Arabidopsis thaliana: one gene and its partners. The protein of the gene in region 4 interacts with the protein of the main gene of each other region in a biochemical or structural test. Each region holds a gene or a part of one and is shown on either strand. Other genes may lie near its edges. The genes, in order: SRF6, SERK4, AT2G14510 and AT3G03770.

Region 1 (7,592 bases), on a different chromosome or scaffold from region 4:
CTTCAAGTAAACTACAAAACCCAATAATACTGCTTGACTCATTGGTGTTTCTGTATTAACTCTTCAATCCAGGCCTGACACACTAGACCCAGCTCTTTTACGTCCTGGACGTCTTGACCGTAAGGTTGAGTTTGGTCTACCTGACCTGGAGAGCAGAACACAGATCTTCAAGATTCACACAAGAACCATGAACTGCGAAAGAGACATCCGTTTCGAACTCCTTGCTCGCCTCTGCCCAAACTCAACGGGTATTGATGATCCCTTGACCATGAAACAGCTTTTCTGTCTTTTGGAATTTGTTCTGACTTTGGGTTTTGTAAATCTTGTCTTTTTGCAGGAGCTGATATTCGAAGTGTATGCACTGAAGCAGGAATGTACGCAATCAGAGCTAGGAGAAAGACTGTGACTGAGAAAGACTTTCTAGACGCAGTGAACAAAGTCATTAAAGGTTACCAAAAGTTCAGTGCCACTCCCAAGTATATGGTCTACAATTAGAGAGATTGAGACAGATAGAAGAACTCCGAAATAAAACTCCGAAACACTCTTTGTTCTTTGTTTGTGTCTCTTCCCTTCAAGCTCTTTTGTAGTACTTGTTTCACAACTTATTCCAGTAACTCGGGTTTATCTTCTTCAATGTCTACTACTTTTGGATTCATAAATTCTTTGTTAAGTTTTTTTTTTTTTGTGAATTCACGTCTTTTGAAATTGATAACAAGTTGATGATCAAGAATTGAACCAAGCCCAAATAGAACCAATGTAGAAGATTACAAGAAAGAATTTTGTTCATGTAAAGGATCTAGAAGCTACACCTTTGGAACATACAATTACAATAAAACAATGGGATTATACAATGTATGAGGTTGCTTTTTTCTATCTTCCAATTGTCTATGATTAACATCCGACGGAGCAAAGTGTTTGTCTTTTCTCTTGGTAGAGGCATTTACATGTAATCACTGGTCGTGTCGGCACTACCAGCACGTTGCGATGGATCAACTCCGACAGTTCTCTTGCTCATGTTAGCTCTCTGCACTAACACAACTAGAGCCTGCACAACTTCAGACATTGGTGGTCTAAACTCCGGCTCCGGCTGTTAAGAAACAAGACCCAAAATCAGTAAAAGACTTTCTTGAATTTGCAAGACTCGATTTGTGACCATTAGTTTACCTGGACACAGAGAGCGATAACATCTGCAAATCGAGAAAGGGATTTGACAGGATAAAGCCCTTTAAGAGCTGGATCAACCATTTTGGCTAAAGCATCAATGTCGTGAAGTTGTGGTGTCGCCCATCGAACCAGTGACTGCTCAGATCTTGACCTTGTGCTGCTCAAATTATAACCAGTTGTAAGATTCAAACAGAAACACATTTCTCAACTACATACATCAAGCCTAGTTTGGATCATAATAGAGTTTACCTGTCAAATGGTTTTCTCCCAGTTAAAAGTTCAAGCATCACTACTCCAAAACTGTAAATGTCACTCTTCAAAGAATATTGGCCTGACATTGATACTTCAGGTGCGCTATACCCTTCATCGGTTTGGTTTAATAACTGCACATATCAGAATGATCTAAGCAACCAAATAAGTTGAGAAATGGTAAAGAGTTTTGAGAAACGTTTGTATATCCAACCTCATTAGCTGTGGGAAGGAAGCTTGCGAGACCAGAATCTGATAAGTGAGGATTCAGCTCTGAATCGAGTAAAATATTAGCTGATTTGATATTCTTGTCCACTATAGACGGTGAGCAAACTTCATGCAGATACCTGCAAGAACAATACTTTCAGTTAACCAAAATACTCGTTTCTTTTTTAATAGTGAGCTAAGCAATGAATTGTTTATGGAATTTACTCCAATGCGCGTGCAGTCCCAAGAGCGATCTTGACTCGTGAATTCCACACCAATGCTTTACTTTCCTCTTCTGATAAGTGTAAGAAGTCATGTAATGATCCATTTTTGTGGAATTCATAGACCACGAGATGTTGTCCGTGCTCAGCACAGTAACCAACAAGCTTGGTCACATTTGGATGATCCAAATTGGCTATTTTCGATACCATTTCAATGAAATCATCGGTCATGCCATGTGGGAGAGCAGACGAATCAATTTTCTTCACAGCAAGAACCTAAAAGATAAGACGTTTTCCAACAACATTATGACATCATTCGAGACATAGAGATTAGGATTACATAACAATATTATAATATCTTACCTTTCCATCATCAAACTCAGCTCTGTATACTCGTCCAAAAGTCCCTTCTCCAAGAAGATTATCTACGCTGAAACTGCCAGTAGCAATTTGGAGATCTGCAACTGAATAGAGTCTCACATTTGAAGGAACCACCACTGTGGATTTCTTGACAGCAATAGGCTTTCTTGTCGAATCTTCATCATCAAATGATTTGTTTCTATCAATTGGTGGAGGTCGAAGATTAATAGACAATGAAGTGTCCAGTTTCTTTGTCTCAACTGATGAAGAACTCTGAATGGAATTGTTTTCTGCAACCATATGGAGTCTTAAGTTGATTTTTCTTTGTTTAAATCTTAAATTATGTTCCAAAGGCAAAATGTAATGTATATGTGTGCATACCGTGAAAGTCGTTTGAAGCAAGAGTGAAAGGCTGGTTATCGGTTTTCTCAATGTCCATGGGTGATGACCTCTTTGATTTTTTTCTTCTGAACAAGAAGAAAGCAACAAGAAGAGCTGTAACTACTAACAATGAAATGATTATGCCCGCAATTGCCCCCGCTCCGATTCCTGATTTCTTGGAATCTCCATTTCTGGTGGACTCATCACTAGACCGGCTTTCACGTCCTCCAGATTTACGGCTCGGGGAGCCACGGATAGGAGGTGTACCAGGTGGTGGTGGAGGTGCAGGTCCAGTATTGAATGAGTTGCCATCTTTTCTGTTTGCAAGAAACAAGAAAAGTGAGATTAAAGGTTTAAAGAAACAAGCAAATGTGTGTGAAATGAGAACTTACATTAATGTGATGCCCTTTAAAGAACTGGGGATCCACCCCGTGAAGTCATTGTTCGCAATGTTCCTGAGGAACATTCAAGAAGAACCAAACGTTAATAAATGTTTAAGAAAAACCAGCTTCACGTGTAATAAGGTTTAGTTACTCACAGAGTCTCAAGAGGAAGACCGGCTAAGACATCGACTGTGCCTGAGAACTGATTGTTCTGAAGGTATCTGTGAGAAGTTAAAAGCCACATGTTTAGTAACTGGTAAACTTTCAGTTCAGTAAGAGGTTCCTGAAAACTTACAGTGATTTTAAACTTGTTAGAGAGGAAAACGTTGCCGGTAAAGAGTTCGTGAAAGAATTGAAAGAGAAGTCCCTGAAACACATGTAATCTTGTCAAATATCTTAATGTGATAAAAACCCTTGAGTATCTTTACTAAGATCTTACAAGGTTGTGAGAGAGTCGAGCTTGGAGAAGTCGATAGCTATCTGCCCCTTAAACTGATTGTGACCAAGATTGCTGAATTGTTTGCACAAGACAAAACATTAATATTCACATCTTTATGAGAGATTTCGAGAGAAATGTGAAGTAAGGCAATTACTTACAGATACTTAAGTGGTGTAATCTGAGAAAGTGAGTACGAAGCAGCTCCAGTGAATTGATTATTCGCAAGGTTCCTGAAACACCGACGGTTATAAACTCGAGAGCACAGATATTACATTAGAAACCAAAACAAAGGAGAATTGATGGACCGTACAATCGTTGCAGATTTGGAGGAAACTGATATGGTAAATCACCTCCAAGATTATTGCTGCTTAGATCACTGCAAGTTCCATCAAAGATTACAAATTAGAAAACTCATTATCTCTAAACACGACTTCAAGTAATAGTTTGGAGGATTAGACAGAGGGTGATCTTACAGCTCGGTAAGAGAAGTCAATTTATCAAGCATGTATCCTCCAAGAGTTCCAGAGAGCTCAAGACCTGACAACTTTCTGCCAAGTAAATATAACACAACTTATGTTAGATATAAATCAAAGCAGGAGACAAGAATATTGATTACAAAAATCACAAACATTTGAGTAACTCGTGAGCCGGAACAAGTGACGCCTCTCCAATTCTGGCCACAAGGATCACCAGCTGCTGCAGTCCATTGTGTTAGCTGAGCTGGAGAATGCATACCACTGAACAATGTGTTCAATGCTGAAGCTGCACAAATTAGAAAACAGAGACCATTAAACCACAATCCAATCAACACAAATTTAACCACAAATCAGTTCCTGCTTTAAAGTCCACTTGAGATCATCAAGATTATATATAAACTCTATAATGTTTTGTTCTCAAGATTAGGAAACACACAGAGAAGTGAAAGGTTCAAGCTTTAGCCCAAAAAGACTGAACATATTTGAGATTTGGAGAAAAGCCATTACGCAAAGTACATATTTTTGAGAAAGGTAAAGATTGAAACTGTGGATGAAGAGAATCAATTGAAGGATATACGAAAAAGATAGAGACTTTGAACAACCCACTCAGCTTAAAATCAATCAAAAGCGAAATAAAGTGAAGAAGATTCTCAGAAGAAGAAGAAACTCACTGTCTGATGCATCAGTAGCTCCATGGATGAATCTAAGCTCAAACCCTACAATGCATAGTGTAAACAGAGCCACCACCGCCCAATTCTCCCTCATCTTCTTCCTCTCTCTAGAACGATAAGCTAAAGTCTAGTCTTGTGAAAAAGCTTAAGAAAGAAAGAGAAATCTAGAAACTTTTTTTTGTGTTTGTTTTGAATTCTAATAATTTCTTAAGTAAAAATTTGATGACAGATTATATAGTGTTTCGTTTAGCTCGTAGTAAACGAATTTTTACAGAGTAAAGCTGTCAAGCACGATTTTAGCAATAAGCTAAGAATCCAAACCCACATAGGAGATTAGGCTCTTTTGTTTCTTTCTGTTTAAGTCTTTTTTTTTTCCCTTCTACTCAATAATATGAACATTAATTACAGTATTATTATGTTCCTTCCAGATTTATCCACAATAATTTGTTCATTTGTTGGTGTATCATGATTATGGTTTGAGTTTGACCCATTATTTATTCACAATAATTTGTTCGTTGGAGGTTGTATCATTGTATTTTTGAATTTCATTTCTTTAAAGTTTTTAAAGGTTGCTTTTAATTTTACACAATGGATATCACTATGAAGGTTGGCTAATGGCTATGATTGGCTCTTTAGTCTTTAAATTGTCCCATCATGCATTTCATCGTGTTTTTTTTACTTTTACGTTTTTTTCTCCGGCTTTTTTTCTAAGTTTATATACTAAAGAAATTAAAAGAGGACGACGTTGTGTGTTTCCTTTACTAAAACTAAGTCAATGTAAATACGAAAAGAAAGCTAATTTGTTTACCAGAAGAATATGTGTAATTAATTTGTAGCTAACTTGCGAAAATAATATAAATATATAACATTGATACCAAAAGAAAAATACCAAATCCCTGAGGAACTCTTGAACTCAATTATAGTTGTTCTGCTTGGTCATACGTATCTTGCATAGTAATTCCAAGTTTGTAATCAATTTTATCATGACATTTAATCATTAAATAATAGTTTATCAATTATTTGTACGTGGTTTGCAAGTTGTAACTAATAATAATAATAAGTTGTAACTTCTTCGTTGAACATCTCGCATGACCATGTGTGTATCCGCTGTCCTTGATTTCTCTTGACTATTAACTTAATTTTTCTCATAATCGACGAGGCACACAAATTTTGTGTTAACTTATATTTTATCTCAGCTCGTATAGTCTTTTTGGTTGTCTCTGTTTCGTGTAAGTATGTGCTAATGTATGCAGTTGATTGTGTGAGAAACTTTTCAATGTTTATTATTCAGGCAGCTGAATCTTAACTTGAACTGTCAAGCAAGTGCCAGCGAGAACCGAGTATGGGTGACAAAGACATTTAATTTAATTTTATATAACTACGAATTCATATATAATTATTAAATTTTTCAAAATTCGTAGTTTTTGTTGTTTTCTTGTATATATGATACAGAGAATCTTAAGTCATCTTCAGACATTTCCATATATTGGTTTCAATATTATTCAGATAAATAATACAGAGAATATTATTCTGTGTATACTCACAGTTCAACTAGTTCTGTGTCACTCAACAAATACAACCATTTTTTGTGCAATTACGATTTTATGATCTAATGGTCTCTTAAAAAAAGGAATGTAACAATGTAAAAACTATTATACGATATATCAAACATGTTGAATAATAGACCAGGTTGCTTCCTAACTCACACGACAACTTCTCCAGTTTTGTCGGTGGGAAACTTTTTTTAATTCTCTCTGTCTATTATCATAAGTTAATTATTCATTTTTTTCTTCTGTTAATGATTATACTAATTACGACAGATGTGCTGTCGTTTTCCTCCAGCCAAGACATACGGCGTGCCGTTTTATTTCCCGTCAATAATATTCTCGTTATCCAAAACAGTAGGTGACCTAACTTCGCGTCAATTGGTTTGGTCGACTTTGAAGAATGATCATTAATTTGTTACATTACATAACGGTGTGTGTGTTTTTTCTTTTGCTTCTCTTGACTTAAAAGTTAACGTTATGCAAGTTAGTTTGAAAATTTATTGAATCTAAGAACGTGAAACTCATAACATACCGCAGATAACAACAAAAGACTCTTAGAAAACAGTTTAAAACATGACTACTAGAATTGGTTTGGTCTCTTTCTTTAACTGTTTTATCATCTAATGCCTCGGAACTTAATAGAGAGAATTTAGAACTTCACTAGTCAAAAAACTCAAAAGATACATTTCTCCGTAGTTCAAAAACCTCATTAATACAAATCCCACTAAACACTATAAACCTTAACCGCATAGAGCAAAAATGAGAAGCCCATGATTTCATCTATCCCTTAAAATGAGAAGCCCATGATTTCATCTATCCCTTCTCTCATGTCTAGCTTCTCTTCCATGTCTATCGTCTCTCTCTCTTCTCCTCTCTTTATAATCTCTATGACTCCGATGATCATCTTCGTCTCTCTCTCTCCGACTCTCTTTATCTCTAGACTCTTCACGGCGTCTTCTTCTTCTTCTGTCTTCATCTTCCCTACTCTCTCTTTCTTTTCTCTCTCTGTGTTTCCTCTCCAGTTCTCGTGCGTCTTCCCGATCATGCTGTCTTCTACCATCATCACGTTCATCTCTGTGCTGTCTTTTGCCTTCCCCATTACCATGAGGACTTCTCCTCTGAATCTTCTCACTCCTCTCCCTCTCATGACTATTATGCTTGGGGGTTTCATGCACATCACCCTCAAACACCATCTCATAGCCTTCACCTCCTCCGTGCTGTCTGTTTTGATCTTTTACAATAAACTTTGAAGACGGACCACCCACACAGTCCTTGGCAATATGATCCGTCGAGCCGCATTTGAAACACCCATTCCCTGTTTCATGTTTGCCAAGGATTTCATTACTTGTTTCGTCTATAGCAGGTCACTTATTCCATAGGGAGGAGAAAAAAAAAAAGATTTACCTTTGCCCTTTTGGGAGTCTTTTTGCCTGAACTGTGACCAAAGTTTGGACACACTCTGACTGAAATCCACATGTATCCGTCTATCATCGA
Region 2 (8,646 bases), on a different chromosome or scaffold from region 4:
TAAAAACCGAATACAAACTTTTAAATTTGGATGCTTGTTAAGTTACACTTCTTGCTCATTCCAATTTGAATTCATATATGACTACGAATCATTGTCTAAACATTTTAGCCGATATAGGACGTGGAAGACACATTTTTTACTAGTTGGAAAATATATGTCTATTTTAAAATTTTGAATCACAATATATGCAAAAAAAATGGAGATTTTTCTTAACTCTATTTATTATTTGATGATTCAAAATAGCTTCCAAAATAATCAATCAAAGATGATAGGAAAATTACGGAATTGTGTTTTTCGCCAAACCATGTTTTCCTGCAAAAACAATAAAGTAATGTTTTTCCCGCTAACATCGGAAGATCTTATTTTTCACCAAAATAGTAAAATCAGTTTATATATGTTAAATTAATAATTTTGAAAATTATTTTGATGTAAATATATTTTAGAGCAACAATTAGATTAATATAGCTAAGATTAAGATTAAAAAAAACTGATTAGACAAAAGTATGAGTATTTTGGTCATTTGGTTATTAAACTCATCTAGATGGAGATGAAGATTTATAAAAATTAAGCAAACAAACAAAAATTCATTTAGATGATCCATCCAAATGAATATCCAAAAATTGAAACGAACATCATTCAGATGGAGCATTTGGATAGAATATTGAGATGGATCATATGAATGGAAATGTCAGATGATCAACCGAACAGACCCTAAATATCTATATTACTCTCTCTGTTTCGAATTATTTGTCATTTCAGGATTTTGCACATAAATTAAGAAAATAATTAAATATTCTACTTCACCCTTGTTCAATATATTTTCTAATTCTTTTTCATTGGTTAAGACATTAAAACAGTGAGGATAAATTGAAACTTTTATCGAACATCTATATTGAAAATCTAAAACAACAAATATTATATATGAAACAAAATTAAGTGCTAAAACAACAACTAAAGTAAAACAAAGGGATTATTAAATATGGAATATCAGGATCACAATTCCAGATATGATTTGACCTGATCCAAGTACAAAATGTACCTCAAAAATACTAATATAGGTGATATAATGTATTTTTTTTTTTTTGTTAAATTACGTATTTATACTAGATATATACAATAATTTAATTTCAATTTCTTTTTCAAACAAAAGAATAAATTTAATCAAGAAGATTTTGGTGGGTTCGAACCCATAATTCGAATTTCACGGAAAAATATTGTTAAGCTTTATTGGTTGGTAAACATCTTGCTTTATGCTCAAGTGGAGTAATGATATTCTTTATTCGTCAAGAGACACAAAACTACTTATAGAGGAGTTGATATTCAAAAGTGCATGGGTTTTTTTTGCATCTTAAAACTTCACCAATCTATATATATACTTGTTGAAGAACCCACAAGAAAAGACCCTTTCTAAAAGGTTATCTTGGACCCGAGGGGTAATCGTTTTCGATAAGGGAATTGGAATAGGGGATGAGCCAGTCAGTGCCAGCATGAGGATAGGCTTGATAGTTAAAATCATGTATTGGCATCTCCTCCTTTTGCCATTCTTCCCATCTCTCAGCTAAACCATCTCCTTCCAGCATTCTCACTACTTCTGACATCTTTGGACGTTCCATTGCAGAACTTTGAGTGCAGAGCAGAGCCATTTGTATCAGCTGCTCCACTTCTGTTTCCACGTACTTTCCTTCGAGTTCTGCATCCACAAGGCTTTCCAACTTCTTCTCTTTCAAAACCTCTTTCACCTAATCACACCCAGAAAAGAAACACTCTTCTTTATTGCAAAATAACAGTTTTGAACTCAAAAATATGATCGGGAACTATTAAAAACATACCCAGTCGAGTAACATGATATCATCATCATTTGCAAGCCGAGCAAGATCGAAAGCCTTTTGTCCAGTGATGAGCTCGAGAAGCATGACCCCGTACCCAAAAACATCAGTCTTCTCAGAAGATTTTCCTGTCGAGAGGTACTCGGGCGCTATATGGCCAATTGTACCGCGTACAGCAGTTGTCACATGGGAGTCATTATAATTCATTAATTTTGCGAGCCCAAAATCTCCAACAACAGCTTCAAACTCTTCATCTAACAATATATTAGCAGCTTTAACATCCCGGTGAATGATTTTTTGGTCGCAATGATCATGTAAATACGCAAGCCCCCTTGCTGATCCCAGAGCAATATGCTTTCTTTTTGGCCAATCAAGTGCTGGATTGCCTTCAGGACGCTCTAAAATAGAAAATCAAGGATAAGATACTTCCCAACTGACCAATCAAAAACCAGTCAAACAATACTATAGGACAAAGTTGTGGTACCTCTTAAACAAGAAGCAACACTTCCATTAGCCATGTAGGGATAAACAAGTAATCTTTCAGTTGGAGTCATGCAAAAGCCACGAAGCCGAAGCAAGTTCCTATGAACGGCCATACTGATCATCTCAACTTCGGTTTGAAACTGCAGTTCCCCACCCTTGGTACGTTCTTCTTTTAGCCTTTTGACAGCCACTAGATTGCCATCGGCTAAACGTCCTTTATACACTTTACCAAAACCACCTCTACCCAATACATTTTTATTGCTAAAGTTATCAGTAGCAACTAACAGTTCACGCAAGGTAAACCTTTTGAGTTGTCCTAAATGAACCTCTGGGTCTTCTTCAGCTGCAAAGTTTGGTCCACCAAAACAGATAAAAATCAGCCAAAGTAGCTTCAATGGGAAAATAGATGAAGAGAGTTGACTAACCAGGTACATCAAAAAAGTGGTCCTGTGGTTTTCTTCTGAGCCACCAAGCAAACGCAATGGCTGGAACAGCAAATAGAAGTGCTGCACCTGCAGCAACTCCCCCTGCTATTGCTGCAGTCATTTGCCCCCCTGATAGTATGAGATAACACACAAAGTTTATTAATACAGAACTCATTCGCAGTGAAGAGTTTCTATGGGAAAATAGTTAATTAATCAACCAAGTGGAACGTTTGAGCAAATGTGAAAAGAGCTAATACATTTTCCAGATCAAAGAGTTTCACAAGTGTCACATAGATCTTTGTGTCCCACAAATTGTCTATAAACACTCTTTTTCTTATAGTGTCCATTAACCCTTTATACTTCAGCAAATTAGCAAGTTCACACTTGTTTCATAATTTCCTTTTTCAGCAATGTCCATGAATTTCTGTTTCTACTAAGTCAAGCTGCCAGGTTCAAATCTATGTCACACTTATCATCTTCAACACCGATCAGTGTAAAATGATAAAAACTCTAGTAAGAAGTCAGATTTTTTCATTAGCAGGTTACCAATCCTACCAAAGACATGTGAAATATATAGATACGAATATAATTATGTTCCAAATATAGAACCATGAAACAGTCAAAACATATACATATCCACTAAATTTCTTTCCACATTCGAATGTGCAGCCATAAATAAAAAAGAATATAGTGGTCTAAGGTCATACCACTGTAGATAAGATTTCAAAAAGTAATTGAGTGCATGAGAAGGGAGATATAACGTTAGGCTAAATGTGAGAATGCCATACAGCATTCACCCATTAAAGATAAGAATAAAGAAGGAAGTTGGAAACTGAAGAATGTAAAATAACCGACAAGAAACACTAAGAAGAAAATGGAAGTGAAAACCTGAAGGTGGTGGTGGCGTAGGAGAGGTAGAAGTAGGCGGAGGTTCGGGAAGATCCGTTAAGCTATTATTCGCAAAACTGCAGATAACTTCCAAACAATTGGTAATTCATTCTGACAACTCTAATCAAGAATAAAGCTAGGAACACGAAGGAAAACCTGATAGGAGTGAAGAGCGAAAAAGAACCATTAACAGGAATATCTCCACTGAGCCGATTGTTTGAGATATCCCTGCATTTCAGGATGATACCATTTGTCAGAGCTCAAGATTGCACTAGAATATATTAAAAAATATTAAACAGAATAATCAGGAGAGACAAAGTTACACTCACAGAACTTGCAGCTGCACAGAAGTCAAAGTCATTGGAATTTCCCCTGATAAGCTATTGTTGTTAAGACGCCTAACCACATATAGTAGAATGTCAAACATTGAAATTAACCACTAAAGGAATTTAAAATCACTTAACATCCAGCAAAATACGATTTATCTACAAAAATAATAACAGAAATTAGAGCTGATGTAAGATCTTATCCAACTGCATAGAACTTTTAGGGCAGTGACTGAATTTGTTTATTGAATTTGTACACTGAGTCTCTAACTACTTCTGAAAAATTCATGATACACATGTACACATAAGTTTTTGATTATAGAAGATTCACAGGTCTCTTTTTTGATAGGACATGGCCTCAGGTTCTATCCAAACCTGAGGCAGGTTATTATCAAATATCATCTTACAGGCACGAAATAATGACATACAACTAAATTCATCATATATTCAATGGGTAAGCTTTTACTAAAGAAATCAAATTTCTTCTACTTGACTAAATGCGGGGTAGCAAACTAGCAAAACAAGGCTGCCTATAACAACCATCTCCCTGAAATACTTACACAAGACCGTGACCTTCATTAAGGTCTGAATGTTAGACGCAATAGTTTTTTAGCAAAGAAATACAACCAAACTTTGAAACTGTAAGCAATGAAAGCTAGCGGTAAAGAGAAGAAGCAGTTTATGGTACATACAAGAACCGGAGTTTTCCTAGTTTGCCAAGAGACGAAGGGATGGGACCGCTTATGCTGTTTGCGTAAAGATCCAAGCTTACTAGTTCCACCAAGTCGCCAAGCTCCTCAGGTATCTCCCCTGTAATGTTATTGCTATAAAGCTCCCTGTCATTAAGCAAACCTGTCATTAAGCTTTGCTTAATTATTGTCGATTGGAAAATCTCTAAAATTATTTTACCAGAAATTCAGGCTACAGAAAACATAATGAAGTATGTAATAAACAAGATACCCATTAATATGAAGAACTATAATAATCGTAGACAGCTAAGATACATGAACGTGGAAACTATATTTGTAAGCAATATTTTCAAAAAAACATTTTGCAGCCGCAACACAAATATGTAGAGTTGAGATCACCTGTAGAGAAATACCAGATCCAAACTCTCCAGTTACTTATCTAATAGAGTTAAATGAGAACATTTGACATAGAGAATTCAAAAAATAAAATGTCTTTCATAATGCCATGGTTCTAGCTGAAAGATGATTATAAAGGATTCCAGTAACAAGGCTCGAGAAGCCTAGCTAAAGAGATCTAAAATGGCACTGATTGGTGATTACCAACGATATCAAAAATAAATCGACATATATATATATATTTCAGATGCATCAACCACAAGAGAGCGCACACACATAGTTTTCTACTCTGAGAAAAAAATTGTTTATCCACAATTCTCTTTTGAAAGCAAAAACACAACTATGTCACAGTCATTAAACAAGTAAGATGAAGCATATGATATGCATAACAAATTCAAGTCCATCTTGAACACTATAGAATTAATCGACATTGAGGAAGAGATGGCTTACAAGTACTGCAAGTTTAAAAGCTGACCAAGTTCTGGAACCAACTTTCCAGATAGTTTTGCATTCCCAAGGTCACTAAGCAAACATCAAACAGTAGATTCCCAAAGGGATTATTGAACCATTCATTCAGACAAAACCAGCACAGAGAGCAAAAAAGAAGACAGAGAGAGAGAAACATACACACGAGTAACTTTATTCTCAGGATTGCAAGTAACATGAAACCAAGTACATGGAGTAACAAGAGTAGCATCCCAGCTTTGGAGTACATTGTTTGCAGGGTCACCTGATGACAAACTGTTTTTCAGCTGAGTCAAAGCATCACCTGTACACATATTCATAATCCAAACCAGCAAACAAACAAAAAAAGTTATGAACTTTCGAAATCTAACAACCACCAAAAAGGAAGGGACTTTTCATGAGAGTAGCAGAAAAAGGAAGAACCTTCAGCGTTTCCAGCGACTCTGAGAGTGAAATTGAATAGTAGGAGCAGATAAAGGAAGCAAAGGAGTGATCTTTGTTCCATTTTTGAACTTGTCATCAGAGTAAAAGCAAAGCCATTATTATTAGAGGTTTATTAATTCCAGGGACCATTTGGTTGATTCAGCCGTTGACGAAGACAAACGAAATAAAGAGAAAGGTTTGTTCTTTGTAACGCGTATTCGACATTTGACCAAGTTTCGAAAGAAACCCAAAAATCGAATTCTCGACGAAACCCCAGAACAAAAAGTCGAATCTATTTGGATTGATGATCGTGGACCCCATTTGAGCCAAAGAAGGAAGACTTGGAACAGAGTAAAGACTGATGATGGCGAGAGGAGTACTCACCATTGCTGGGCATAATATCCAAACCCAACACCCGATCCGAATCCAATAATAACCTGATCCAACCCGAACCCAAATTTTCAAAATACCCAGTTTTATTCCAAATCCAAAAAAAATAAACCCAAATCCGATTCCAACGGGTTTCTGTACATATCCACAATATAAATATTAATAATATATTATTATTAATATTTATATTTGTAATAATTTGTGTCAAAATATATAAATTTTGTGATATTTATAATATTTATAGGTATCTAATCACTTTTGAATAAATTTGGGTCAAAAATATGGGAGATTTTCAAAATTACCCTTTTTTTACTACTCTTTTGCAACAATACCCTTTTATATTGTTTATTTTTAAAAATATCATTTCCCTTGAACAGAATGACCAAATTACCCTCATCTAATAAGAACATGTAATTGGAAACTGAAAGTTTCCCGCCAAATTTATTTTTCCCGCCAAAAAAAAGTTTCCGCCAAACCTTTTTTCCCACCAAAAAAAAAACTTTCCCGCCAAAAAAAAAATTTCCTGCCAAAATTTTTCTCGTAAATTTTTTTTCCCAACCAAAAAAATGCTTTTAAAAATCCTTGTAAATTTTTTAAAAGCTTTGGTAGTTGCCAAAAACCCTTGTAAATCATTTTAAAACCTCTTAAAATCTTTATAAAGTCTTTAAAAACATAGATAAATACTTTTAAACCGCCTTTTAAACCTTTGTAAATCATTTTAAAACTTTTTACAATAGTTTTACAAGATTTACAATCGTTTTTTAAGCATAAGTAAGTGACATTGAATGATTTACAAGGGATTTTAAAAACTTATAAAAGGGTAAAACATGATTTACAATCGTTTTAAAGCATAAGTAAGTGGCATAGAATGATTTACAAGGGATTTAAAAAGTGTTAGCATGGTTTACAATCGTTTTTTAGCATAAGTAAGTGACATTGAATGATTTACAAGGAATTTTAAAAACTTATAAAAGGGTAAAACATGATTTACTATCATTTTTAAAGCCTAAGTAAGTGGCATAGAACGATTTACAAGGATTTTTAAAAATGGTTAGCATGGTCTACAATGTTTTTTTAAGTATAAGTAAGTGACATTGGAATGGTTTACAAGGGATTTTAAAAGCTTATAAAAGGGTAAAACATGATTTACAATCGTTTTTAAAGCATAAGTAAGTGGCATAGAATGATTTACAAGGGATTTTAAAAGTGTTTAACATGATTTACAATCGTTTTTAAAACATAAGTAAGTGTCAAAGAATGATTTACAAGGGATTTTAAAAAAGGTTTGCATAGTTTACAATTGTTTTTAAAAGATAAGTAAGTGGTATAGAATGATTTACAAGGATTTTAAAAGCTTATAAAAGGGTAAAACATGATTTACAAGAGTTTTTCAAGAGTTTGAAAAGGATTTTAAACATTTGTAAATCCATTTAAAACTCTTATAAAGTCTTTACAAGCATTTTTTAACTTTTAGAAAAAGAATTGTAAGTATTTAAAACATTTACAACTCTTTTTGAACCATTTTAAAACTCTTGTGAACCTTTACAAAATGTTTTAAGAAGATTTACAAGAGTTTTTAAAGGGTTTTCTTATAATTTTTTTTAAAATCTTTTTAAAACTCTTGTACATCTTTTAAAACCTTTTAAAAATCTCTTGTAAATCTTTTAAAACACTTTTAAACTCTTTAAAAATCTTTAAAAACTCTTGTAAGCCTTTTAAAGCCCTTTAAAATCTCTTGTAAGTCTTTTAAAGCCCTTTAAAATCTCTAGAAAATCTTTTTAAACCCTTTTAAAATCTCTTGTAAATCTTTTAAACCGTTTTAAAATCTCTTTTAAAACCCTTTTAAAATCCCTTGAAAATCTATTTCCCGCCCAAAAAAAAAAATTTACGGGAAATTTTTTTTTTGGCAGGAATTTTTTTTTTCAAAATTTTTGGTGGGAAATTTTTTGGCGGGAATTTTTTGTTGGAAAATTTTTGGCGGGAAATTTTGGCTGGAAATTTTATTTTGGAATATTTTAAGCGAAAAATATTAATATTTCATTTTGTTAACCTAAATCAATTTACAAATAAGGGTAAAATGGTCATTAAAATTTTAAATAGGGTATAAATGAAAATGGTAAATAGAAAAGGGTAGAATTGAAAAAGGGTAGTATGAAAAGGGCATTAAAAAGAATTTTTCCAAAAATATTCAAGATTTTTAGATATTTTGTGTATTAGTAGTTTGGACAGATTTAGTTATAAACGATTTGATTTTCTGGGAATTTCAGATAATTCGAATCCGAATCAGAAATGTCTGATCCGAACCCGAAATCTAGGAATATCCAAACGGGTTCTA
Region 3 (7,585 bases), on a different chromosome or scaffold from region 4:
TTTAAAGAATTTACAAGGATTTTTAAAAGATTTTTAAAAAAATTTACAAAGATTTGAAAACCATTTAAAAACTCTTGTAAATCTTTTTAAAACCTTTTGTAAGAGATTCAAAAAAAATTTTAAATGGTTCAAAAATTATTAAAGGATTTACAACGGTTGTTAAAAGATTTTTTAATGGTTTACAAGGGTTTTAAAGGATTTACAAGGGTTTTTAACAGATTTACAAGGGTTTTTAAACCCTTTAAAAACTCTTGTAAAATTTTTTAAAACCTTTTGTAAGTGTTCACAAGAGTTTCAAAATGATTCAAAAAGAGTTACAAATGGTTTAAATTATTTATAAGTTTTGTTTAAGAGTTCAAAAATGATTTAAAGACTTTATAAAAGTTTTAAGAAGATATTAAAATGATTTACAAAGGTTTTTAAAATCCTTGTAAATCTTTTAAACCATTTTACAAGGATTTACAAGCTTCTTCTTGCTTCTCAAAGCTTTTAAACTTATTTACAAAGGTTTTTAAAGGGGTTTTAAAGAATTTACATATGTATTTAAAGACTTTATAAAGATTCAAAGAGGTTTTAAAATGATTTACAAGAGTATTTAACAACTTTATAAAGCTCTTAAAAAATTTACAAGGTTTTTTAAAGTTTATAAAGGGTTCTTAAAAAAATTTACAAGGATTTTTCAATGTATTTTTTTAGCTGGGAAAACATTTGTTGCGGGAAAGAAATTTTGGCGGGAAGAAAAATTTTTATGGGAGAAAAAAATTTTAGTAGGGAAATTTATTTATTTTTGGCGGGAAAAAAATTTCCAAGGAAAATTTTTAATTTCTAATTACATCGTATTAGATAAGGGTAATTTGGTCATTTTGTTAAAGAGAAGGGATATTTTTTAAAATGGACAACAGAGAAGGATAGTGTTGCAAAATGTTACTAGAAAATGGGTAGAATTTGCAAATCTCCCTATTATATTTAGGTTCTCTATTTCTAATTTATAGTATATATTTCCACTATTTAAAAAAAAAATTGATTCAATTTAAATTAGATTAGTGTTTGCTCTCATTTTTATTTTCTATCTTATATTTTAATTAAGTTTAATTGAAGTTTATAGTGTCATTTGTGAAATTTTAGAAATATTGTGCTAATTTTAGAAGAAAAACCTTTTTTGCTGTTATTTTTGTCAATTGCCCATAAATATTTACGTCTAAACATTTACATGAACGGACATAAGAGTAAATTGCATAGCAAGAGAAGCTTTTAATACAACATGTACGTATGAATGTAAATAATGCAATTCAAATAGGAGTAAACTGCGTAGCATGATAAGTTTTTAATACAACCTATACGTATCTTTCAAACACAAATATATAGATGAAAAGATTAACGAGCTGAAGGGATATCACTGATGAAAGTTACGGTATGTCCCAAGGACTTGCTTGAATTTTGATCTTGGCTCCTTATTTTAGTAAGGTTATATATTTCCAAACATTCATTAAGCTCATGAGCAACCCGAGTCATGTTTGGTCTCTGTGTGGAAGAAGGGTTAATGCACAACATCGCTAATTCAAGAGCTTTCCAAGATGAACTTGAGTCGTAATCTTGATGGAGATTCGGATCCATAATACTTTCAATATCACCATTTGCAAGCATAGACTTGGCCCATTCTACTATGTAAGACTTATCACGCGATTGTTCAATCACAGGTTGACCAGTGATACTTTCAAGTAACACAATTCCAAAGCTATAAACATCACTCTTCTCTGTTAACCAATTCTTTAGATAATATCTGCAAGAAAAGTAATTGAAATATTTTGGTTTTTGTTTACTAAACATACAAGGAAACATATCCTGAATACTATAATGTGATGTGAACTAGAACTTACTCGGGATCAAGATATCCAAGAGTTCCAGCAACATTTGTTGATACATGAGCTTGACTTCCCACTAGAAAAGATCTTGAAAGTCCGAAATCGGCAAGTTTGGCTTCAAACCGTAGACCTAACAGTATATTGGTACTTTTTACATCTCTATGTACCATTGGCGGCTGACATCCAATATGCAAGTACTCAATTCCTAGTACATAGAAAAATCTTCATATGTTAATCATAAAAATGAAGTCTCGAAGAAAGAAGAATAAATCAACTTGAGAAAAAGTAACAATGCTAGGCATTAAATAAATTTCTACAAACCTAGTGCAGACTCAATAGCTATTTTAAGTCTACTCGACCAATTCAAGACAGAGCCACCACGTTTTCCTGCCAAAATACACAATATGGATATAAATCGTTAGAAAATTTTAAAGCATTTGGCATGTAACTCAAAAATCTTTGTATCATACTCTAATGGTTTACCCGAAAGATGCTCCTTTAAGTTTCCATTTTCCATGAACTCGTAGATGAGAGCCAAGTCAATTCCTTCATCACAGTATCCGACAAGGCTTACTAAATTCACATGGTGAACTCTTAGAAGTAGTTCGACCTAACAATATATTCAACAATATGGTATAATTCATGAGCTCATGATTGTCGAAAGACATAAATGGAAGATTGTAGTGTAATTAAGTACTTCTGTTTTGAATTCCTTGTAGCCTTGAGTTGATGATTGAGAGAGAACTTTGACGGCTACTTGTTCATTATTGAGAAAACCATGATAAACAACACCAAAGCCTCCTTTACCGAGAACAACTTCAAAGTTGTTAGTCATTTCTTTGACCTCTGAATACTTAAATCTTCTATTTTTCATTTCCAATGATGGACGTATAACTGCAGAAAATAAATTTAACTATCCATTAGGTTTCATACTTTTTCTTTTTTTTTTGAATACTAGGAGGTTCTGGGCCGATAATCCCTCAGGCCCGAAACCACAACATGTAATAAGTTTTGTCCCAAGCGTCACTCGAATCGACGACCTCTAAGTTTCGCCTAGGGTCTTTATATTTATATATTTAGGATCATATATTTATTAACTTACCTTTGCGTGTTGATGACTTCCTCCTTCTGAAAATGAAGATGAGAACCAACACGATTATAGTAACGGCCACACAAGATATAGATGCAACAATCGCCACCAGCCAGGATTTTGGTTGGTGTTTCCCGCGCCGCGTTATATTTGGATCAACACTAAAAAATGAAAACGTTATTGACGAAATATTAACTATATAAAAATGTGTCGATAATAATCAAAACTAGATCATCGAAAAACAGACTCTTACAATAGTTTTAAACCATCATTCTTTTCTCTATCTTGAAGGGCTTGAGGAACAGAACCTCTAAGATTGTTTCCTCTTAAGTGTCTGTGGATGTGGAGAAATCATTAGAAACTAATTAATGAAGACAACACAATAATATTTAGGTAACTTACATGACCAACAACGGTTTGATAGTGGCTAGAAATTCAGGCACTTCTCCAGTCAAGTTGTTATTTGATAAATCCCTATAATGTTTCAAGAGATAAATGTTAACCAATCAAAAGCAATTGTTTTCCTTTTAATTCAAATTATGTAGATACGTACAATTCTCGAAGCATAGTTAGGTTCTGTATGCTAGGCGATATAACTCCAGTTAATCCACTCAAAGACAAATCTCTATTTGCATGACATATCAAAGATACATTTGTCATATAATTTGATAACAATATGTACAATATAAATTTTCTTACAATGAGATGATTCTTGGTGGTGTGGAGATATCTATAACGTTGCAGCTTACACCCATCCATGAAAACTGTTTAGGTACACATGGATCGCCCTGCCAGCTGATTCTACTCAATTGATAAGTTGATTGAATTTTCTTGATAGCAATGACTGGCAAACAAAAGAATCAAGCATAAAATATGCCGTATTTTATTACTACTTTATTCTTTTGAATAACTAAGAGGTTCTGAGCCTAAGCACGTACATCCTCTTAAGCCGTAGACTAAAGCATTTAATATGGTTGTCTCCCAAGTGCCAACTTATTACGTTTTATATATGTGCATAAAACTACACGGCTACATACCTTCATCCGTATTTGTGTCCGATTGTGGAAATTGTATGACGCTAAAAATCTCTATAGCATTCATTAGTGGTGGTAGAGTCGACTTCGGTGTTTTTGACAGCTGCACACGACATACCCCTCCCTCGCATTTTAGTGGTGCAGGGTTGGATAAGGTTCTTGCTTCAAACTTCCATGGAGTATAATCAATGTAATCAACACCATTCGCCAAAATTTTGAATTCCCTAGTTTCATTGACCTTTAATTGTTGGATCTCAGCAAAGAAAAGGTAAGCATAAGTTTCGTCATCAGAGGATTCCAAATTCCATGTAAAGGTCAATGGCTCGCTGCCATTAGTGGGTATGGAGGCGGTCTGAATTACACCTTGTGGCGGATTGTAGCCATCCGAAAAGCCACTTACATTCCGGGTTGTGTTTATTTGAGTCCATTCCGGTTGTGAATATGGCATCCAAACACGATCATAGACATCTTCGGGATAACTGCGACACTCAAGTATCAAGTTTATGTCAATGAGCAAAAAAAAAAAACACATGGTACTAAATATAAAGTATTCTGTTATGTTGTTGACATACCGTATTGCCTCGTCTGAATTGGTGAAGTAGAAGTGCGCCATACTCTTTAAGGAACCGGTTCGAGCAGTATAAGTATCATATCGCAAAGGTCTTAGTTCTATGGCTGATATCATTGGTGTACTTGTCCCTGTTTTGACGAGACATATGTCCAAGATGTTAGACCTTGTGACGTGAACGATCTCCTCGACAACTCCATCACCTACATCCGCTATTAGCACATCTACGCTTGTCCAAATATTTGGACCGAGAAAGAGGTCAAATCGCGGAGAAGTATTAAGACCGTCATAGTTTCCATAATAGAAAAGAGTCCTGATTAGATACTTTGTGCCTTGCTTCACACTCAAACTGTAGCAGTTTCTAATTCCATCCGGAAAGTATCTCAAAACCTTGAATGGCTTAAAGATAAAGTTTGTACGTGAGTTATTTTGGATATTACCAGTTTTTCCTCCTCGGATGAAATTGACATCTGATATGAATGTTAAATTACTCGATGGTTCGATATAAGATTCTTTAGACGGTAATCCGCAATCCAAACTGATGAATCCTGGTCAAACAATAAGTAACAATCGGAACAAGATTTCTTTTGTTTGAGATAATTCATATATCAAAAACATGAAGGAAACAAAATGAAAAAGTGTAAAACAGTAAAAATACCTTGTTGATTTTGAGACTTAACAAGAGACATAATGGAGAAAGTGGCACAAGCGAGTAGCATAAACTTGTTACGAGTCTCCATTCTTGATTCTGTTCTACTTCTCATTTCTCAACCAAACAAAAACTCAAACACACCAAAAAGTCTTAACACATTATATTATGAGAACTTAAAGTACAAAGTTGACAATGTCAACATATGGACACGTCACTTCCAAATAGAAAATGAGCTAAATTAATATCAGTGGCTGAAAATAATAACAGTCTAAAATAATATGTTTAAAACCTAGTTGTTGTCATGGAAGTGTAATAAATTAATATTAGTTTGGAAAGTTTAATACGAAGAAATTAGAAGTGCTTTGATATTTGATAATTTGGTTTAGGTTCAATATATACAAAAAAAAAAAAACATTCATAATTGATAAACACAATATTTTGTCCCATTAGACGGTTAGAAAATAAGATATTTATGTTAATTAATTACTTATCAAAGTTCACTATATATTGTATAATTAGACTTTATATATTTTCAGTTTTTTTTAAAACGTAAAAATATATTTTCTATTAAAATAATAGATTTTATAGCTTTCAAATTCTTTCTTAAAATGAAAAAGTATATTTGCTGCTTATGTTTTCAAATACTTTTTTAAGCAGTAAACATACATGCATGATTATATTAGGTTCGTGGTCCAACCCTGTATGTATGTTTGCTGCTTTCAAAAACAATTTTTCTTTCTTTGTTGTTAAACAAATAACAAATTTTCATGTACAAAATATTTTGTTGGGAGTATAATGAAATTACACATTACATCAAAACTTTTTAAAATCTCAACGAAAAAACATTTACATACTACAACCAACACTTTTATATAATTTTGACGTGACACACTTATAAGATTTTATACTCCCACTTCGAAAAAGTCTTACCATAAGATCCCATCAAATTTATTCTACTTGGCTGAGACGATTAGTTCAACATTGGACGTGCCTTATTTTTATTGGTACATGCATGTTGATATTTCCGATTAGGATCCATCTCCAACAATACAACTATATAATTAAAATTTAGTCTTCTATTATTTATCTGTTTTCTATATATCCATAAGTTTGATTATTATTTGATTTTTTCTCAAAGGGATATTTATTCATAAACCAATCTTACAAACCGGGTGAACCGGATAACCTAGTAAACCGGTACCCACAACCCCTTCAGCGAAATATGCAAACAGAAGCTGACACAATTTCCAGCGAGTGAACAACCGGAAACATCTCCGGATTATGAAAACAGACAGCTATTAAACCGAAAAAGATAAAGGATTCAATTTAATCTTCAAATTCTTTCTCTTCTCATCACTGGATCTTTTCCGAAAACAAAAGCATGAAAGAAGTCGTCGACAAACAATCAACGACGAGGTGAAGCTTCTGATCTCTTGTCATCACTTGCTAATAAGAATAGACTTTGGAAATTGATACCTTGACTTCTTGGAATGGCAAGACGGACCTCAAATGAGGTGATTGAAACCGTCAAAAACGCCGGACCGTTTCAACTATAACGGTTGGAAGGAGCCAAGCAACCCATAATTCGCCCAGATCTGAATTTTGATTCATGTGGATGAGACTAAAACAGTCGCCCAATCGAAACACCAAAACACTTACCTGATTGTGGATGGTGGTGGGACAGATCGAGAATAGACCATGAAACTTTCTAGTTAGAAAAGAAGAAAAAACTGATATCAAATTGTTTCGCAAATCAATTCGGTGAAACAAACACAACGGCAACAGAATAGCCATGAGAACCGCCGGATACACCTGATGGCGAGATAGGACAGCGAGATGGATCGACAAAACCGGATCACATCCGGATTCATAAGCCGGTAAAGCGTACCGGACGGCTAAATCTCGATCAAAATCTCTCTCTCTCTGAAAAGTTTAGAGAGAGAAGAGAGAGAGAAGAGAGAGAGAAGAGAGAGAGAGAGGTGTTTTTAAAGTGGGACTTGATATATCCCTATTTTCACTGATTTCATCTATGTTTTAGGTATAGGATTTTGAGTCTTTATGTTATTTCTCGAGTCTTTTTAGTGTCTTTTCAGGTATTCTATGCAGTGGGACGATAATGGAGATAAGGAGACATTTTGGAGCAAAAGATAAGAAAAAGGAAGTTAAAGACGATTTTGAGTTCCAGTTTCAGAGGAGTGTTGATCGACACACTCCTGGTGTCGATCGACACCAGTTTCGGCCCAGCAAAGTCCATGACGCTTTCAAGTTTACAGAAGAGGAAATTTGCCCCAGAAGACTTCCCTATTTGCATTATTAGTCCCTGAACATTTTATAGGGTTTTTATATTGTTTTTAGACCTAAGTTTTCTTTGATCAAGTT
Region 4 (7,460 bases):
TTTTCTAACCATAAATTAATTAGGTGGCCTCGCTACAGGCGGAGTTATCGGTGGTGCAATCACAACTGATAAACAGTAGAGTCGCAATGGCCAACGTTATGCAACAACAAACTCATCACCAACAACAGCAACAACAATTAGTCGTTATGCAACAACCCGAATACTCCAACAACTCCTCCGCCTCCACCACTCTCGCCGGAGCCGCCATGAACAGCTTCACCATGACGGCAGATGCAGCAGCCGTCAGCTATGACGTCATGGCTCCGACTAACTTAGAACATTCGTTGCAGCCAATGCCACCGCATCAGCAAAGGAGAGGAGATTATCAGCATGAGGATGAGGAAGAGAGCGGTGCTGATTTTTCGGTGGCTGTTGGATCGACGGCGGTGGCTTCGAAGGTTATATTTCCGGCGGAGGATTTTCACCGGAGATGAATGTATTACCTAGGGTTTGTCTTTAATTTAAATATATCTCCGTTTTTATAATAATGTTGAGAAAGAGAATAAGTATATCCAGCAGACGTATACTATACATGTAGAGTTGTCGTGAAATATTTGAATGAGATATATGCATGTAGTTATTGGTTAATTATCATACTAGTTGGAATTAACTGAATTTACATACGAATCCAAATTAATAAATAAGTAAAGGATTTGATGATCCAACACCAGCCATTATCCTCTATTTTGATTTCTTGGACAAGAAGAATCAATCAAGCAAATCTTTTCTAAACCCTAGAAATCGGTTCCATCTCAATTTCTATATACAATTTTAATTTATTTTCGCTGAACAAAACAGGAAGAAAAAACGATTGAATTTTCCAAAATTATCTCACCATTGTTGGACTTGTATTCCTTTTGAAGAATAAAAATTAACCGACACTGTTCTTTTAAGTAAAGTTTATAAGAAAAATTAACTATATTATTAACTGTTATGATCGTTTAAGCTCAACACAACTAAAGACAAAAAAACAAAAACAAACATCAAATTACAAACAAAAAGGTTATGTTCTTTCCAAAGAGTAGTGATCAGTGAACAAGACCAAACAAAAACCCTCGTCTCTCTACCTCTCATGTTCTTCACATCCTGCAATTACAACCACACAAATAAGTCTCAGATCAATAAACTTATTCAATCTCAAATCTTTAACAATCAAATTCTATTCTGAACTGAATCAATTGATCATAAAAGATCGAGTTCAAAAATACCTGAATCTCGGGGAGATTCGAGTGTTGTTACGTGTAAACGAGAGGGAGGAGGAAGAGAGGAAGCAGCAGGAGAAGGCGAGCCGAGATTGCTCGAGGGATTGCTGTTTTGTAGCCAACCTTCTTGAACTTGAGAAGCAAACTGAAGATTCCACAGGACATCTTCAATGGAAGGACGTTCTAAAGGGTCTTTAAGGAGACACCTTACACATATCTCCATCATTGTCTTCAGTGATTGGTCTGAACAAGCTCTATGGACCGTTGGATCCACCATGCTCCTACGTGCTCCATCATCCGCTGAAATGCTTGCTTGTAACTACAACAAATAAAAAAGAGTTTTTAAAGTAGATGATAGCGATTCCACATCAAGCTACATATATATCGAATGGTGTTACCTGCTCTTTTAGAACATCGACTTGACTCTTTGCTCTCAATGGTCTTCCCACTATAAGTTCAAGCAATATCACTCCAAAATCATAGATATCGATTTTATCTTCGTCTTTGATGCTGTTAAGAAACAGAGGATTAAACCATATAAACCGGTTTACAAGCTGATGAGAAACAGAGGATTAAACCATATAAACCGTTTTTGATTCTTTTGAGAAACAGAGGATTAAACCATATAACCGGGTTTACAAGCTGATGAGAAACAGAGTAAAGAAGATTATTACACACCTTGGAGTGCCTTTAGGTCCGCTCCGAGATCCTACTTGCCCCACCTTAGAAAGGAAAGCAAAAGAGATTCAAAATTCAAGAAACAAAAACATTCGAACTTTTGACATCGTCATTTACCTTTCCAAGACCTTCCACAAGCAATGGAAGATTATAGCTACTGAGTTTCGCCGCAAGGTTATTGTCAAGCAAAATGTCTGTCATTTTAAGGTTGTTATCATAAACACCAGGCACAATACCGGTATGCAAGAACTGGATCCCTTTTGCTACACCTATCGCTACGCTTATGCGTTGTTCCCAAGTAAGCAATCTTCCCATGTGCCCATCTAGCACAGCAGAGACAAGAACAATCCGATTTAGTTATTAAAAAATATATAATGATCATCTTCATTCTTAAAACACATGATGTTTCAGTGTGGTACCAGAAATCCAGGTCCTGAGTTCTCCATTTGGGACATACTCAAAGACAAAGAACATTCTGCTGACTGTTGAATCATCCAAGTAGCACTCGAAGCAGTGCCCGAGCACACTAACCAAGTGACGGTGCCGCAGTTTAGCGATGAGCTCAATGTGATGCATCAAGTTTTGTGTGCTGCAACTTTTCTTCATTTTCAGACACCTAATTGCCACAAAGGATCCATCTTTCAATCTCCCTCTATAAATCTGAAAAGAACAATGAAAACAAAAATCTTGTTTGATTCAACTGTTCAAAAAATGGAAACTAGCTAAAGAAAGATTGAAGCTTCACTGCTGTACCTGTCCTTGAGAACCTTCACCCATGAAAGCAGAGGATTCAAAGTTATTTGTTGCATACTCGAGCTCCTCCAGTGAGAATGTCCTGTAAGCTGGAAGACCGAGCCCTCCTAGCTTCATTGTTTGAGAGATATACCCTTCAAAGTATTGCAGTTACAGCACAAGTTATCAATGAAGACAAGTTCTATGTAATCTATGTGACAATATGTGAGAGATATTTTATCCTCTTACTTGCATCTGATAGTAGTTTCGATGTGTACCCCATTGAAGCATTCTCTCTAATCAATCTTGGGGAAGATTTCGTCACTGTTTTCTTAGCATTTAATCTCCTAAGAACCACAAATAAGGCACCGGCGAGGAGAAGTACCCCGAGAATGCTTGCGGTTACACCTAAAGCAATACCCACTTTGGAAACTTTGTTCCTCCTCTGTGGTAGGATTCCAACAGCAAGAGCTTCATTACTACAAAAAGAAACTGGACGTTGATCTTCATTCGTAGTAGCCAAACAGTTGCTTGCATAGACAACATCTCTGCTAGTGCCGGAACTCGGTTTAAGGCAAGTAGGCAAACTTCCGGTAAGAAGATTTGATGACATATCTACAAACATCAGCTGTGAGTTGCAAGAAAGATTTGCTGAAAGCCGCCCGGTGAGTTTGTTGTGTGAAATGTTCAAGTAAGTTATCGCGGGAAGAGACATCAAGGAAGTAGGAAATGGACCAACGAATGTATTGTAGGAAAGATCCAAATGTTGAAGCTGATACAGAGAACTTACTTCTTCAGCTGAAACTGCAGATCTAAACTTGTTCTTGCTGAGTATAAGAGTAACCAGCTTGTTACTTAACCGAGGAAACAACGGTCCAAAAGAGTTTCCTTCAAGATCAAGCACTTGAAGGTTTGTCAAATGGCTTAAATCAGGCAAAGCTCCATTAAACCGGTTATTAGCTAAAGCAAGAACTCTAAGACCTGACAAGCTACTCAAAGAAGAAGGCAATGACCCATTAAGCACGTTCTTTCTCAAGCTCAACACAGCTAAACTCGGCAAAGAATCAATCCAATCCGGTAACTCACCAGAAAACATATTCTCGTCGAGTATAAGCGTCTGAAGAGTAGCAAGCGACGAGAGTTCATGAGGGATTGGTCCAAAGAGGAAATTGGAACTCACATTGAGAATCTCCAAAGAGGATAAACGGTTGATTTTCTGAGGTAACCAACCCCATAACCCAAGGGACACAAACGTGAGAACTTTAACATCAGGGAGCTTAACAAGAGTAGTAACAAACGAGTTTATTGAGAAACTCTTTGGTAACATATGAGTTCCATTGTCTCCTATAATGTGAAGCTGCGTTACACTATCTTCATAACACACAACGGTTAGCGAAGGGCTTGGCTCAGAATTGCAGAAATCTGTATAGTTGTTCCAGCTGTTTAACACTTTGGGATAGTAGAGAAGCTGTTGCAGCCTCAAGAGGGTTTGAGATTGAGATGATTGTAGCTGTGTAGAGCCATCAATGGAAGCTAAAAGCAGAACCAGAAGCAGTAACGGCATGCCACAATAGAGTTTCTCCATAGCCACACAAGACCATAAAACACACACAACTACTAAATAAAATCATATAAGCATCATCATCAAAACCTGCAAAGAGAGAGACACATTTCATTCAAGAATCACATTTATATATAATGTACTTACAAAACAGGGTCCACTCTCAAGATCTTGATATTTTAACCACTTTCTCGTTAATGCATTAAACAGAAGAGAATCTTAGAAATCAATCTTCAAACTAAAAAAATATGATTTTTGCATGTGAATTCCAGAAAAACAGGAAGAACTCACCACATGTGTTACAGAATCTCCTCTTTAAGACACCTTGCAAGAAGAAAAGATGCAGGAAACTTTTGAGCACAAGAGATTAAATTTTATTTTTCCTGGAAACAAAATTTGGTTTCATCAGAGTAAGAAGAATGAGAAAATGAAAAGACAAATCGTTTCCTTTGAGATGAAGAAATACCTCTGCAAACTTATGAAGTAACTGTGAATGGAATATCGATTTTATCTAAAGAAACAAAAAAAGTAGCAACTTGATTTAAAGAAGAAAGTGAGAAAAGTTCCCAAGAAAATCCTCTGTAAGAGATGAAAGTTCCTCAAGGAGCTTTAAAAACATTCAAGATTCCTTCACGAGTGATTATTATATCTTATAAGAATAAAACAGAGGATACTCTGGGAACAATATTAACCCAACAAACTTTTTTTATTTTTTAAATAGACAATAAACAAAAACAAATTCTGTAAAATCAATGCAAAAACATTTTAGCAACCATACGATTTAGTAAATTGTCAGTGGCTAACGACAGAGAGTTTGGTCCTCCTCTCTAAGTCTCCATCACGAGATGAAGACAACGATAAATTCTTTTTACAAAAATAATTTTAAAACAAACAAACAAAATAGAAATAGAATTTTTTTGTCCAAAAAATAATCTTGTAAGTGTTCACATGCATTTTTAACAAATTAAAAAAGAAAAAAAAAAAAGCGAATCCAACAGGGTCTGGCCGACGTTTTTTTCTGATCTTTTTATTTTTGGTTGTCTCACTATTTATACAGTACACAAAGTAAATTATTTTATCAGCATTAAATATGTTCATATTATATTATCACTTTCAAAAAAATAGGGACCAAAGAGAAATCCACTCCAGCCAAAGCTGTGGCCAAGAAAAAGTAAAAAGACAAAAAAAAAAAGAAAGATAAAAAGGTAATGATAAGAGAAATATTCTTTTAGGGTTTAGGCCTTTAGGGGGATGATCTACAAATACGAGTCTGAGGCAAACAAGTCTTTATATAGTATAGATTTAATTTTGATATTTTTTTAAAGTTTCTTATATGAATATTAATTTGATTGAGAAAAGTCTGTCTATCAATTAATTGGGTATGCTAAGTTAAACAAGATTAATCAAGAATGAGTAAACAAAACCAAGTAAATTAGTGTAACTCTAATTTTGTTTTGAATTTTGATCATGTAAGAAAGCTGAAAACAAACTAAACATAAAAACCACAACAACTACACCGGAATTTTATCAAAAACTAGGCTTAAAACCAAACTGAAAGAAAAAAAAAAGATCCATCCAAAAACTTAAATCTGAAAGAGGTAATATATATATTTAAGGTGAAAATAAAAAGAAAGCGAAGTTGTGACACATACTGTAATGTAAGCTTTCGCACGAAGGCATCTCCATCAGAAAGGTCACACCAGACTTTTAAAGTGACACATGTAGGTCCCAATCTTCTCCGACCTTTTCAAAGTTCAAGAAAACAATCTTAATACAACAAATTAGCTCACATATAATATGATCAATAAAGAATAACATGCAAGGAATTGGAAATCAAATTAACAAACAATTTAAACTAAACTCGTGTATTTAATCATATTAAATTGAAACTAAGGCATGATGTCTTAATCTCTTGACTACTCTCACGTGCCATGAGTGATTCATCTTTTTATTAATCTTGTAGTTTTTTTTAATATGATTCATAGTTGCAGGTATAAGAAAACAAGTAAAGTAAATGCTTACAAACATAAGAAAACAAAATTCTGTGAAATTTTAGTCCACCTGGTTTTATATAAGCATCTTCTTCTGTTAGATTTTTCTGTGCATCGTTTAGGAATAAATATTTAATTTTAATTTATCTTATTTTTTTCCTTCATTTTGCGTGTTTCATTTTTTGGTTAGTTTTGTTTTGTATCTGTTGGTTGCATGTCTCAATAGTCAATGTCGTCGTATACAATCATAGTTTAAATAAAACTAAAAATTGTTGGTGCAGCTTATAATCGACTAGCCAACTTTAAACAATACGAAATAGAACGTGGTAATTTCCAATTTCGATTTCTTTTTCCTTAACAAAAAAAGATTGATCTTTAATTTGGTAGACGAAAAGAAAATTAATAACGGCTAGAAATACATTTATACGACTATTTTAACTGGTAGTGAAAATTGATCGACTGGCAACTATAAAATTAATATATTATGAAAATTTATTGGCTAAGTGAAGTAATTTGAGATTATTTCATAGAAATACATTTATACGACTATTTTATGTTTTTTTCTTGATTACTATCATGCATTCATATGTTACATTATTCTGTTTTTATCACATAAATATATATACACTACATTAAAGTGATTTGTAGAAAGCGAAAGCAAATACTTAATTAAGACGTACGTTAGAGCCTAGAGGAGTGTGTGTGTGTGTGTCATTTTCGTCTTGCGGTGTAATAAATTAGGTTAGATGGTTTGTTCAACATTAAGATTTATTGTGGTTTTTGTTAGGTATGTCGTAATTGTGAAGTGATCATTTGCTAATTTATCAACCGCATCCTCAAACTAATCCTTTAATTTTATTCGACTTTAGAATTCATTAAGAATAGTAATATCTTAATATGTCAAAATTTGACGATGCCATATAGACAAGTTTGAATAAATTTAGTGTTATATAATGCAATCAACGTAAAGGAATTTTATTTATACACATCTCGTGACCAATTTTTCTTTTACTTATCTGTGTAGTTGTAAGTGTTATGCAAGTAGCATGTGTGATGTGTCATCATTGATCTATGATTTGTAACAAACTATGACACATGTTGTCTTTTCATTTCATTTATCCCTATTTTTCCATTTTGCTCTTGTTTTTACTTTATAGTAACTAGCTTAAATTATTATTATTGCAAAATGCCAAATTGTGAAATAAAATCTCTAATTGTGGCCGAATGTGTGATAGGTGTAAGTTTTATGGTTTTTTAATAAACTCGTGAAGTTATGGGTCTTTGTGGAATATTCTA

The links.
Region 1: the proteins of AT3G03770 (region 4) and SRF6 form a complex in vitro, tested with the Arabidopsis thaliana proteins (one large-scale study listed by BioGRID).
Region 2: the proteins of AT3G03770 (region 4) and SERK4 form a complex in vitro, tested with the Arabidopsis thaliana proteins (one large-scale study listed by BioGRID).
Region 3: the proteins of AT3G03770 (region 4) and AT2G14510 form a complex in vitro, tested with the Arabidopsis thaliana proteins (one large-scale study listed by BioGRID).

Annotation. Positions count from the first base shown.
Region 1 is NC_003070.9:20,058,824-20,066,415, reverse strand, and holds SRF6 (STRUBBELIG-receptor family 6), read right to left. Parts: upstream 5,012-7,592; 5' UTR 4,646-5,011; coding exon 4,552-4,645; intron 4,167-4,551; coding exon 4,034-4,166; intron 3,953-4,033; coding exon 3,878-3,952; intron 3,781-3,877; coding exon 3,715-3,780; intron 3,635-3,714; coding exon 3,563-3,634; intron 3,477-3,562; coding exon 3,405-3,476; intron 3,333-3,404; coding exon 3,261-3,332; intron 3,187-3,260; coding exon 3,121-3,186; intron 3,038-3,120; coding exon 2,975-3,037; intron 2,900-2,974; coding exon 2,583-2,899; intron 2,492-2,582; coding exon 2,205-2,491; intron 2,118-2,204; coding exon 1,846-2,117; intron 1,761-1,845; coding exon 1,628-1,760; intron 1,548-1,627; coding exon 1,414-1,547; intron 1,325-1,413; coding exon 1,165-1,324; intron 1,088-1,164; coding exon 941-1,087; 3' UTR 703-940; downstream 1-702. Other genes in the region: RPT1A (regulatory particle triple-A 1A), read left to right, coding at 73-248, 338-495; CYP59 (cyclophilin 59), read right to left, coding at 6,908-7,413, 7,503-7,592.
Region 2 is NC_003071.7:5,739,351-5,747,996, reverse strand, and holds SERK4 (somatic embryogenesis receptor-like kinase 4), read right to left. Parts: upstream 6,406-8,646; 5' UTR 6,019-6,405; coding exon 5,922-6,018; intron 5,803-5,921; coding exon 5,661-5,802; intron 5,556-5,660; coding exon 5,484-5,555; intron 4,785-5,483; coding exon 4,641-4,784; intron 4,021-4,640; coding exon 3,952-4,020; intron 3,851-3,951; coding exon 3,779-3,850; intron 3,700-3,778; coding exon 3,623-3,699; intron 2,864-3,622; coding exon 2,735-2,863; intron 2,653-2,734; coding exon 2,311-2,652; intron 2,225-2,310; coding exon 1,830-2,224; intron 1,740-1,829; coding exon 1,416-1,739; 3' UTR 1,164-1,415; downstream 1-1,163. UniProt on the Arabidopsis thaliana protein: Dual specificity kinase acting on both serine/threonine- and tyrosine-containing substrates. Positively regulates the BR-dependent plant growth pathway and negatively regulates the BR-independent cell-death pathway. Required during SCOOP small peptides (e.g.
Region 3 is NC_003071.7:6,169,759-6,177,343, forward strand, and holds AT2G14510 (Leucine-rich repeat protein kinase family protein), read right to left. Parts: upstream 5,338-7,585; 5' UTR 5,319-5,337; coding exon 5,213-5,318; intron 5,103-5,212; coding exon 4,559-5,102; intron 4,466-4,558; coding exon 3,990-4,465; intron 3,797-3,989; coding exon 3,652-3,796; intron 3,578-3,651; coding exon 3,506-3,577; intron 3,427-3,505; coding exon 3,355-3,426; intron 3,287-3,354; coding exon 3,206-3,286; intron 3,114-3,205; coding exon 2,965-3,113; intron 2,757-2,964; coding exon 2,560-2,756; intron 2,473-2,559; coding exon 2,346-2,472; intron 2,250-2,345; coding exon 2,184-2,249; intron 2,068-2,183; coding exon 1,878-2,067; intron 1,781-1,877; coding exon 1,375-1,780; 3' UTR 1,184-1,374; downstream 1-1,183.
Region 4 is NC_003074.8:944,240-951,699, forward strand, and holds AT3G03770 (Leucine-rich repeat protein kinase family protein), read right to left. Parts: upstream 5,000-7,460; 5' UTR 4,640-4,999; exon of another isoform or gene 4,557-4,639; 5' UTR 4,465-4,556; intron 4,264-4,464; 5' UTR 4,198-4,263; coding exon 2,862-4,197; intron 2,768-2,861; coding exon 2,634-2,767; intron 2,541-2,633; coding exon 2,300-2,540; intron 2,204-2,299; coding exon 1,998-2,203; intron 1,925-1,997; coding exon 1,881-1,924; intron 1,713-1,880; coding exon 1,601-1,712; intron 1,522-1,600; coding exon 1,209-1,521; intron 1,087-1,208; coding exon 1,064-1,086; 3' UTR 838-1,063; downstream 1-837. Other genes in the region: LBD20 (LOB domain-containing protein 20), read left to right, coding at 24-434; AT3G03773 (HSP20-like chaperones superfamily protein), read left to right, coding at 7,389-7,401.